Linked DNA regions of Arabidopsis thaliana. The protein of the gene in region 3 interacts with the protein of the main gene of each other region in a biochemical or structural test. Each region holds a gene or a part of one and is shown on either strand. Other genes may lie near its edges.

Evidence for each region.
Region 1: the proteins of AT5G56040 (region 3) and AT2G41090 form a complex in vitro, tested with the Arabidopsis thaliana proteins (one large-scale study listed by BioGRID).
Region 2: the proteins of AT5G56040 (region 3) and CAM8 form a complex in vitro, tested with the Arabidopsis thaliana proteins (one large-scale study listed by BioGRID).

The regions. Positions count from the first base shown.
Region 1 is NC_003071.7:17,133,213-17,136,969, reverse strand, and holds the start of AT2G41090 (Calcium-binding EF-hand family protein), read right to left. Parts: upstream 1,624-3,757; 5' UTR 1,148-1,623; coding exon 1,072-1,147; intron 969-1,071; coding exon 608-968; intron 491-607; coding exon 352-490; 3' UTR 1-351. Other genes in the region: AT2G41082 (uncharacterized protein), read right to left, coding at 2,041-2,145; AT2G41080 (pentatricopeptide (PPR) repeat protein), read right to left, coding at 2,416-3,757.
Region 2 is NC_003075.7:8,395,984-8,399,740, reverse strand, and holds the start of CAM8 (calmodulin 8), read right to left. Parts: upstream 2,030-3,757; 5' UTR 1,942-2,029; coding exon 1,863-1,941; exon of another isoform or gene 1,779-1,862; coding exon of another isoform or gene 1,754-1,778; coding exon 1,596-1,753; intron 1,175-1,595; coding exon 1,094-1,174; coding exon of another isoform or gene 1,046-1,093; exon of another isoform or gene 1,036-1,045; intron 1-1,035.
Region 3 is NC_003076.8:22,692,776-22,696,532, reverse strand, and holds the start of AT5G56040 (Leucine-rich receptor-like protein kinase family protein), read right to left. Parts: upstream 1,711-3,757; 5' UTR 1,484-1,710; coding exon 1-1,483. UniProt on the Arabidopsis thaliana protein: Receptor with a serine/threonine-protein kinase activity.

The DNA.
Region 1 (3,757 bases), on a different chromosome or scaffold from region 3:
TTATAAGAGTCTTGAAGAACTCTGGGACGGTGAGATATGAGGCTTAGCTGATTTGATCACTGTATGTGCCAAATCATTAACCGATTTAGATCAATTTTTAGTAATGCTACCAGTTTTCAATAATTAGTTCTGCTACGTTTTAAATGTTTTTCTCAAAAGATACATTGATACCCCAATTATATTCGATACTGAAACCATATTACAAACTCATTTTAATAAATTGCATGCAAGAAAAGATGGTAACACAATAAATTTATTACATAGAAATTATTTTCAAAGATCAAACGCCTTTTTAGAGAGATCTAACATACCAGCCAGACCCTAATGGCATAAAGTTACTGATGTACCATTTCAAGAAAACAACGCTTCGAACAAATTTTTGATGAAGTCGGTCATTGGCGCTGCGATGATATTTTTGGCAACCCCGGCCGCCAAGTCCCTCTCCAAAGTGCCACCAGTTGTGTCATATTTAGTATCATGACCTTGATTCCTAGCCATACACACAAGAACTCAGAATGAAATTTAAGAACAAGAGAGGAACATTCTTTATGAAATTAGATAAGAGGTAGTAAAAAAAGGGGAAGCGGAAAAGTTGTTTAAATCTCACTTGGCCATCATAAGCCTGGCAAACTCTCTGTAGTTGATCTGACCATCACCATCAACATCAGCTGCCTTGATAATCTCATCGATTTCTTCATCAGTTTGCTTCCACCGGAGGATAGTCCTCACATATCTCATTTCAGCAGCTGAGATGAAACCATTCTTGTCTATGTCAAAGAGTCTGAAATCTTTCTTGAGGTCTTTCTCAGAGTAAGTGTCCTTAGCCATTGCGCACAAGAACTCAGTGAAATTGATGGTTCCGTCACCATCTAAATCCGAATCGTTGATCTCCTCCTGAAGCTCAGCTTGGGTCAGGTTTAAACCGAGGGAACGCATCACGGCACCGAACTCCTCTGTGGTAATGTGACCTACAAGAAGTAATCAAGGACTTGTGTTAGTCATTTTCAGTGCTTTGAAGATGATTCAGGATCCAATATGTACGATTAGAGGAATAGAGACGATGAACCATACCATCACCATTCTTGTCGTATACGCTGAACTGTTCCCTAAACTCTGAAATCTGTTGTCTAGTGAACTTATTCGCCATTGTTTTTTATTTTCTGTGATGACTGAGAGAAGAGTTTGTACTACGAACTCTCGGCCTTGAAGCCTTTTTTATAAAACTGAATTCACTGCCATGTCAGCTTTTGCTTTCATGTGAGTCGCCTCCTTGGTTTGTTACTCTAATTGGTTGGTTCCTTCTTCCAAATCGTTATCATCATTAAATGCTGTCTTTTTTTTCTTTTCTTTTTTGTATTTCCATTTATTTGAAAGAAACATTTATTTACAATGGACTAGAGACTTAATAATATATGGTCTTCTACAGAAGAAAACAATTGAATAGAATTATCAACGGTGAAGTATTCATTTGGACTTTTGGATGGGTAGTGGACCAATCGCTACATTTGTCTAAATTATTTCGTTGATTTTTCTCGTTGGTTCGTTCCTTCTTCCAAATTCATTAATATTATTTTCGTTCATTAAATGCTGTCTTTTTCTTCTTCTTCTTTTTTTTTTTTTTTTTTTTTTTGTATTTCCATTTATTGACAATGGACTAGAGACTTAATAATATATGGTCTTCTACAGAAGAAAACAATGGAATAGAATTATCAACGGTGGAAGATTCATTTGGAATTTTGGATGAGTAACTGGACCAATCGCTACATTTGTCTAAATTATATTTTACTTTTATGTTATAGTTTTCTTATACTAACTTTTAATAAATAGTTTATAAAAACACTCATGAGTTCTGGGAAGTGCTTCAACGTCCGTATTTATGCAAAACTTAACAAATCATAATAAAGCAAACACTTGCATAAGATAAAAATGAATCGAAGATGCTTATGACGATTGATTATCACATGTTTACTAAAGTGGTGTTGTTGAAGTTAACGAACTTTACCTATGAAAAATCTGATCTGAGGGATTCGCAAGTGCATTCTACTTGAGAACCCACTCCATCCTCTGATCTAACATCTCTGCTTTGGAAAGAATCGCAAGCCAAGGGTGTGGAAGGTTAGAAACTACACAAACGACCAAAAACATGGTACATACGAAATAACGCGAACCATAGTTTCTACCTTGCGGAGATGGCTTGAGTAAGTAAAGTTGACAGCAAACCACTTCATGTTCCTGACTCAAGAATAACACAGGCAGGAGCAATCTCAAGGTAGACTACAAAGCTACTACCCGCAGTGTAATTTTACCCTTGCTGCTGAATGCTTTCGTCCCAGATGGCTTCCCGATCCAATCTGAGTGCTTAAGACTCCAGAAAGACTCTGAAGCAGAGAGTCATAGCATACTTTAACTGCCCAGCTACCAATAATCGCCGCAAGAACACTTTCCGTTAATGAAATGATGGAATCTACTACCATCTCTTAACGTGATCTCTCGGTTCTTGATCACCGATATATATTTGAAAGCAACATGGCAATCACTGCAAACCCGCAAGTTCTTGATTATTCTAATCGGTGCACCTTCAGGTAATATCATGAGCGCAAATGCAACCGCTAGTTTCTCGCTGTGCTGCACCAAGTCTGATTCTTTCTCCTCCTCATCCATATCATGCAATACTGACGCTGTATCAGGCTTGTATCCCTTCAGCTTCATCTCCAGAGTCAGTTCTTTCAGGTATGAATAGATCTCTTTAGATTTAGACTGAGAGCGATCTCCCATCTTAAACTGATGAACTTCACCTTTGTGTTCAAACCAGCTGATTCCCGCTTCTTTCTTCACATTCTTATCTCTCATCGATTTTCTCACCTCTGATACATCGCGCCATCTCTTAGCTGAGGCGTGAACATTTGCAAGCAGGACGTAACAAGCAGAGTCATTAGGGTCAATCTGAAGAATCTCTTTAAAGACTCTCTGTGCCATTTCTGCGTTTTTGTGTATGTTACACGCAGATAACAATGTTTTCCATATAACAATGTCTGTTTTTATTGGCATAGACCTTATTATTGCCTCGGCTTGATCCAAACAGCCTGCTCGACCGAGCAAATCCACCACACAAGTGTAGTGCTTTAAACCTGGCTTGAACCCGTATTTTTCCACCATCATGTCAAACAACTCAAGCCCTTTGTCTTTTAAGCCAGAATGACTACACGCATAAAGTAAATTCAGAAACGCGACCTCGTTTATCTCCATGTTCGTCTGCTCTGCCATAGTATTAAACAGCTCGATTGCCTCATCGCCTTGTCCATGAAACCCATAAGCAGAAATCATTGAGCTCCACATCACTTCATCTTCATCTTCACGTTCCGAGAAAGCTTTAGCTGCATCTCCAAGACACCCACATTTTGAATACATACTGATCAATGAACTAACTACAGCTACGACAGAGCTAGCCCCAATTTTAATAGCTTCCGCATGAATCTGCTGACCTTGACCTCTTATCGCTAAGTCAGAACAAGAACTGAGCACAGTTACAAATGTGATCTTGTTCGGCCTACAACCTGAGATTTTCATCATCTTATACAGATAAAGCACGGTTTCAGGACATCCGTTTTGCGCGTTCCCCATGATGAGTGTATTCCATGCAACCAAATTACGAACCGGCATTGATCTTATAACAATCTCGCCATCTTGCAATTTCCCATTTCTCATATACATATGAGCCAACGAACTATTAACAACTAAATCCAACTCAAGCCCATAT
Region 2 (3,757 bases), on a different chromosome or scaffold from region 3:
TGTTTATTATCCATTTGAATATGCAATACAATATAGTAGGTCAAACGGCCTAACTTGAACAATTTCTAATTTCGGTACGAAAAATATGAATAAACCAAATTCATACAATTGTTTAGTTTTTTTTTTTTTAAGTTGTAAGCAAAATACAGCTGGTTTTAGCCTAAGTTTTGACCAATCGATATAGAAAACCCCAAATTAATAAATTGAATTGTGTTGCATGCAAAAAGGTGTCTGCATTAATGTAACTTTTGAGGATGTAAAGAAAGGTATATATATTTAATTAAACTAGGTGAAACATGTGCCCTCCTGTCAAATAAACCAATAAAATCAAACGCATTTTACTCTATCTAACTACTTTGTATTAAAATTTCTTTTGTTCCTCTTCGTTATTCTCTAAAGATTCACAATGCCAGCTAGCTCTAAGCCCTCACGATGGAAAACAGACTTTCGAAAATATAAAATCAAATAAATAAATGGCCATGTCTTGTTAAAAAATGTTTTAGAACATAAATGAGACAACTATGGATCTCTTTAAATTGGAAGATCGTCTGGCTTTGTTGTCTGATATTTGTCATTGATTCTACATATGTGAAAGTGTGTTTTAGCTGGATTTCTCGTTTTTTCTAGTTAATGCAGAATTAATTGGTCCAAGTGGTTACATAAAAATACTATGCTCATAATTATTGTGCTTAGCCTGTATTTGACGACACTTTAGAGATATAGAGCATGTACCACTTAAGCAAAGAAGACATTTATGAAATTGGTTCATGTACCTAAACTAAATTTGACAATAACCAAAATTTAGATAAGGATTTCTAGTAGATACAAAAATCTAAATAATTATAGCTCTAATCATTTATAACCAAATAAAAACACAGTTAGACCGTACATGGTATTATTGGAGAACGTTGTACAAAACGCAATCCAGTGCATCGAACTAATTTGTTTTTATAAGTTCTTAAAGAGGATTTTCCGCATAAGTTCCCTTTTAAGTTCTCAATAAGTCAAGCATATATCTAACTAAATATACACATTGACACATATATCAAATTAGTAATAAAGAGAGAAAAAAAAGAGAGTAAGAGTCACGGACCTCACTGGCAGAGATGTATCCATTTTGGTCTTTGTCAAAGACTTTGAATGCTTCTTTCAGCTCTTCCTCCGCATCACTTTCCTAAACCATCACATGATCATGACAACAACTTAACATACAAAAAAACTATTGTCATAAAAGTCTTTGTTTACATTATACACATTTACGTGTCTAGTTCTTCACAAATCAGATTTATTCGTAGTGAAAAACCGAAAGCAAAACAGATTTTGCTGTAATACAAAAGCTGAATATTTCCAATATATTTCTTAAGAGTTTTTAATAAACTAGAAGCATAATGAATGAGACAGCTCCATTTTGACTAGAACCTGTTAGGATCCCATATCAAAGAGTTACAATAAGGGACCTATAACATAATATATAAGAAATCATATAGACAAAAAAATTTCACTTGATGTAACTTTTTGGTTTGTACGTGGCTACGTTAACTTGATGTAATTAGTTGTGAAATAAATAAGCATGAGAGATCAAGAGAGAGTGGAACCTGAAGTTTTTTGGCCATGAGGTTGAGAAACTCAGCAAATTCAATGGTGCCGTTGCTATCAGAATCAATCTCAGTGATGATATCATGAAGTTCTTGTTCTGTCGGATTCTGATCCAACGAACGGATCACTGTTGCAAGTTCTTCCACCGTTATACAACCTATTAAAGGATTCCAAACAACCATAAATAAATGTCACACAACATAATATTAGTCGTCGTCTTTATTATCTTTATTCTATATATGACCATCTAGAGAAAGGAAGAGAACCGTCGCCGTCTTTGTCGAAGAGACAAAAGGCTTCTTTGAACTCAGTGATCTGATCTTTTGTCAGTGCTGTTTCTTCCATTGTTTTCTGAGAATATTTTGAAGACAAAGAGAGAGAGAGAGAGAGAGGAGGGAGCTCAAGGTTTGAAGTGCTTAAATCTCTGATTTATGGTCTATATGTAGAGTTGTGACAAGACCTTTTCTACATTGGACTTATGTACTTTTCAACTACTTTAAGCTCTTTAATTGATTCTCAAATTATTTTAAATTGAAAGGGCAGTACTGTTTTTTTTTTGGGTCTAGAACTCTTGGATTGAACAATTTAATTCTAGTCACATGGCTGAATCCCATATAATAAATTAATAATTGTCGCTGTTTGTTAAAGTTCAAATCACTTGTGCAAAATTAGTTTTGAAAAAATCATCTTATTCTAACAAGTAGAGACTACTACAAATAGACATAGAACGACAAGTCCTAAAACAAACAAGTATAAGCCTACAATAGTCTTTGATAAAACGTCCCTAACTTTTTCTGTCTAGTTCAAACCCATTAGCCACTCATTTTGTACGCAACAATTATGTTCTTTTGTTTTTTGTTTTTTTCTGTTTTTTCTTAAATAAAAATAAAAATATTTTATTGAAATGATAAAAATATAAATTTACAATCAAAAGATTTTAAGCCTATACAAATGATCCTATAACAAGAAAAATAAAACATAGAAGCATACATCGTGATTCACAAGTTTTGGTCAATCAACTCAACCAAAGCGTTGAAGCCGAACGAGTTAGATAAAAATATGACTATTTTGAAATTTTATCTTATAATTAAGTTTTTTGTTTTTTGTTTTTTTAAGAAGAAGGGTAACTACTGCTTGAAAAAAGCATAATGCTAAACTATTTGCATTAAAAACTTTGAATTGGAGGTCTAAGGATGAGCCGTCAACGGTAGAAACTCAAAGTTCTCTGGCATAAACTCCTCTCGCGTCATGTGACAGTGACTCGTTGTTCAAGTCCATAAGCTTTCCAATAATATGGAACCTCAAGAACCAAATTATGCGAACGATGCAAGCTCCATCTACCAATTTCTTTCCCCAAAGTCGGATAGAGCAGAGCATGATTTATGCGATTCATAACCACATCGAACACCATCGATCTTACTAACTCTTCTAGAACACAAAACAAACGCAACAAGAGGTGATAACTCATTGCAGCACTAACTTCAATTATGAAGAACCGCACTAGCAAGACACATTCAAAACCAGGTAGCACAAATAACTAGTCAAGAAATACAAGTGATGTCAACAAAAGAGACCGCAATTTAGCCACCACCGCAGCTACCAAATACACAATCTGAGAACCGAGACGATGCGATAAACTTGACGCTTTAAACATGTTCTTTTGTTTTTTCTGACTTCAAAATCAGTGATCACACTCTTTTAATACTCAGAAAGAACAACATTGAAATTTGTCTACGTACATCTCAACATAATGACCTCATTGGCCATCTTACCCGCTCCTGTCCATAGAAGACATATTAACGTACAACTCGACTGTCCATAGCTGTGAATGCATTAAGGCTATGAAGCTTAACTTGGCCAGCATGATTTTGTAGAATCCGTGCGTTCCCACACAATGATTTAAAAGTTTATCCACACAAATCATTCTATTTTCAAATTTGTTCCGATCGACGACATTTTCTAGAATTCACGGAGGTAGGAATTTTGAGAATATTACAGATTCATTTGAATCACATATTCACACCACTTATTTATTTTCCTATACATTTTGTTTGAATAATTGCGACTGTTTTTATATAACAGATGAAAATATATATTCCACGTCACATATCATAATTGAGAAGAATATCTACTGCTAAAAGATTGTAATCATTAAGAAGAA
Region 3 (3,757 bases):
CGATGAGACGATTCTCACTTATATCGATGAAGTTGAGATTTTTCAGATTCCCAATCTCCGCCGGAATATTCCCCGCGAGTCTGTTACCGTTGAGTCTTAACCGGTAAAGATTCGTGCAGTTTCCAATATCCGGTGGTATGAATCCAGATAAGTAGTTAGAGAGAAGAAGAAGCTTCGTGAGGTTTCGAATCTCAAAGATTCCATTAGGTATCGAACCAGAGAGATTGTTGTAGGAGAGATCAATCGCTTGAAGCTCTTGACATTGAGAAAGAGACTCTGGAATTATTCCGGTTAACTGATTCTGCCACGCAAAGAACATCGTCAAGCTTGTTAATTTCCCGATCAACGGCGGAATCTCGCCGGAGATTTGGTTGTTATCGATCTCTAAATGCGTCAACTTCGTGCAATTCGCGAGTTCTTCAGGGATTGTACCGGAGAGCTGGTTAACACTTAGCTGAAGCTCTTGGAGATTTGGAAGGTTTCCGAAGCTTCTTGGGATGTTTCCGGTGAGGAGATTTTCCGATAAATCGACGAGGAAAAGCTCCGGACAGGTGCCTAGCTCGGTAGGGATCTTTCCGACGAGATTGTTTTGCCATAAGAGAAGACTTTGAAGCTTCTTGAGACGTCCCATTGATACAGGAATCGATCCAGAGATTGAGTTTTGGTACAAGTAGAGGTTTTGAAGCTCTGTGCAGTTTCCAATCTCATCAGGGATTGGACCAGACAAGAGTGACGTGTAAAGAGCTATTGTCTGAACCTTTTTCAGGTTTCCGATCGACGCCGGAAGTCTACCGGAGAGACTTGTTTCGGCGAGACCTAAAGTCACAAGACTCTCGCAGTTACCAATCTCCCAAGGAAGCTCTCCTCTGAGATTCTTGTTACCACCTGCACGGAAGATTTCTAGATTCTTGAGTTCTCCGATGGTTCTAGGAATCTCTCCGGCGAGTTTATTGTCGAAGAGAGTGAGCTCGATGAGGTTAACGAGATTCCCTAACTCCGATGGAATCACACCTTCGAGATTATTTGTGTTGAGAGACAGAATCTTTAGTTTCTTGAGCTTGAAGATATCCACAGGGATTTCACCAGAGAGAGAATTATCAGCTAAATCAAGAACTTCTAGCTCCGACAAGTCTCCAAGCTCCTTAGGGATTGAACCAGTGAGATTCACGGAGGTTAAGCTGAGCAAAGTCAGAGACTTTATCTGTCGGAGATTCGTCGCCGGTAACGGACCTTGAAAATCCATGACTTGGAGTTGTATCTCCGAGACTTGACCTCTTTCGTTGCATTTGATTCCCACCCATTGACAAGGATTCGATTCGGAGGCTTTCCAAGAAGATAAAGCGTCTCCGGAGATGTTCAACTGAGATTTCCATGAGAGGAGAGCTAGACCCTGTTCGTCTATGGAAAAACAGGGGATGGAGAAGAAAAGAGAGGAGTGAAAAAGAAGGAAGAGGAAGAAGCAGAATCTAGGGTTACGTGGCATTGGTGAAGAGGGAGAGGAAGAAGAAGAAGTGAGAGATAGAGAGAGAGGTGCGTTGGGATTGTGAAGCGAAGAACCCCATGGATTTGGTTTTTACTTTGATTTTATAGAAATATATAAAAACAGAGCAAACCAAAGGAGAGAGAGAGAAGAAGAAGTAGTAAAGGAAGATCTGGATCCCAAAAAGCACCTCTACCTTTTTCCCTTTATTATTATTTTCCAAACAATGTCACTTTATTTTTTCACCATTATTTGTTTGTGAACAAAACAGAATTATATAAGTTGAAAATTAAATAAAAATATAGATGAAAAGAGTGGTAAATTATATTTATTCCTTTTCTTGTAAGTGGATTTATCTGTGGTAAATGCTTCTAGATGAGGCATGCTGATAATATTATTCATAAATGGTAAAAAAAAAAAACTCCTATAGATCTAACTATTACATAGTCATAAATCATCTAAGAAAATTAGGTTATCAAATTCAGAAAATGACATGTTAGAATTGGCCCTATTATTTGTTATTTCTGGATTGTTATCTTTTAAGAAACAAAAGGAAGATAACGTTTACTCAGATCAATAATGACTTCTAGACTTCTAGTTACTAATAATGATATTTGTTGAATGCTACTACTAGTAGTACTACTACTACCTATTATTGATAAACGACGCATAACATAATTGGGGTTTTCTAATGCTTCGAAAGAAACATTTAGATAATTTGGATTGTGATTATTTGTTTTTTTTTTTGTTTACTTTGGGAGAGTCTGAAGTGGCTATATAGTGGTAAAAATGAGATTAGTAAATAACTGAAAGAAAGATGGAGATATCTACTTTGGATTTCTGATATATAAATTATTAAATTAGTAGTTGAAACATGGAATCTTGAAGAGTGTGAAATGCACATGAAAGCTAGGAATTTATGTGAAAGATTAATTAAATTTACTAATGCTCATCTCTGCTAGCATTGTCGGTCCATTTCATTCGCTGTAATTATCTGTTTATATCATACGTATGCTAATACTAATTAATATCCATATACATATATACACTTGCTCATACATATATTGAATTAAGATGAAGGTGTTTTAGATCCAATTTCTTGGACTGGAAATTTAGAATACTGATTAGAAAAATTAAAAAGGAGGAACTGGACAAAACAAAAAGATTATGGAAAAGATAAAGTAAACTAAAATTAAGATCATGGGTCAAGCATCATTAGGTCAAGAAGATTATATATAAAGATATAACACCACACCTCAAGTCACATGCCATAGTAGAATCAAAAGATTAAATATGTATCAATAGATATGTAGAGAGATGGTTATGCATGTGCATATCTATACACATAGTAAAGTGAGAGAAAGCATTTCGACAACATGGTTTTATTCTGCAGGTATTTAATTATGGAATAGTGTGTACTCTAATTACCGTAAATTTCACTTAAAAACTGGTGATGTTAATCATATATTGATGTAATATGTTTCGTAATATGTAACTTTTGTTGTAAGTTAGAGACAACAGATATTCTTTCATTTTAAAGAGTTACATTAATGGTAAGCAAGTAACAAAGTTTCTTTCTCACAAAAATACGAATATCTCTTGGGGTCTACCACATTTACATGAAATGTACATACTAAATCATTTGCATAAACAGTACTAGTGTGTCTAAATCATTCTCAGGCGCACCGTGGTACAAATGACCTCAACTTTAAGACCAAAAGTTTTGCTAACGCTTTGAATTCGACGTATGTACATATTTCGTGTGAGGCATTTCATCATTTGGACTAAGCTCCAACGTTTTGTCAACCCTTGATCTATAACTTCTTTCTTTGGTTTATAACTTATGGAGTATTTGTTTAGTTTTAATAAATAAATAAGAGAGTCATACCAAAATAAAATTAAAATAAGAGACGAACATGTGTGGGGAGAGTTAAATGAATATGGTCCATAAAGAGGAAAAATAAAAGGGAAAACAATAAGCCAAAAACCAACAAACAAGAAGGAAGTAAAGAGACAGCAAAAGATGCAAGAGAAAAGACAAGTACCCAACTGTATTTTCCAAACTTGTTAAAATTTTGATTTCTTTCTCAAATCTTATGATTATCATTAAATGGTCCATATTGTTCTTTTGTCTATCGCATCTATCGTTATTTGAATTAGTGTCGTCGACAATTAATGACTGTTATAGCTAAGCAGCTTCCAAATTATACATGTTCACATATGTATGCAATGAAGGGTGATGGTTTTTATTATAATGAAGTGTGATGGTTTTTCTTA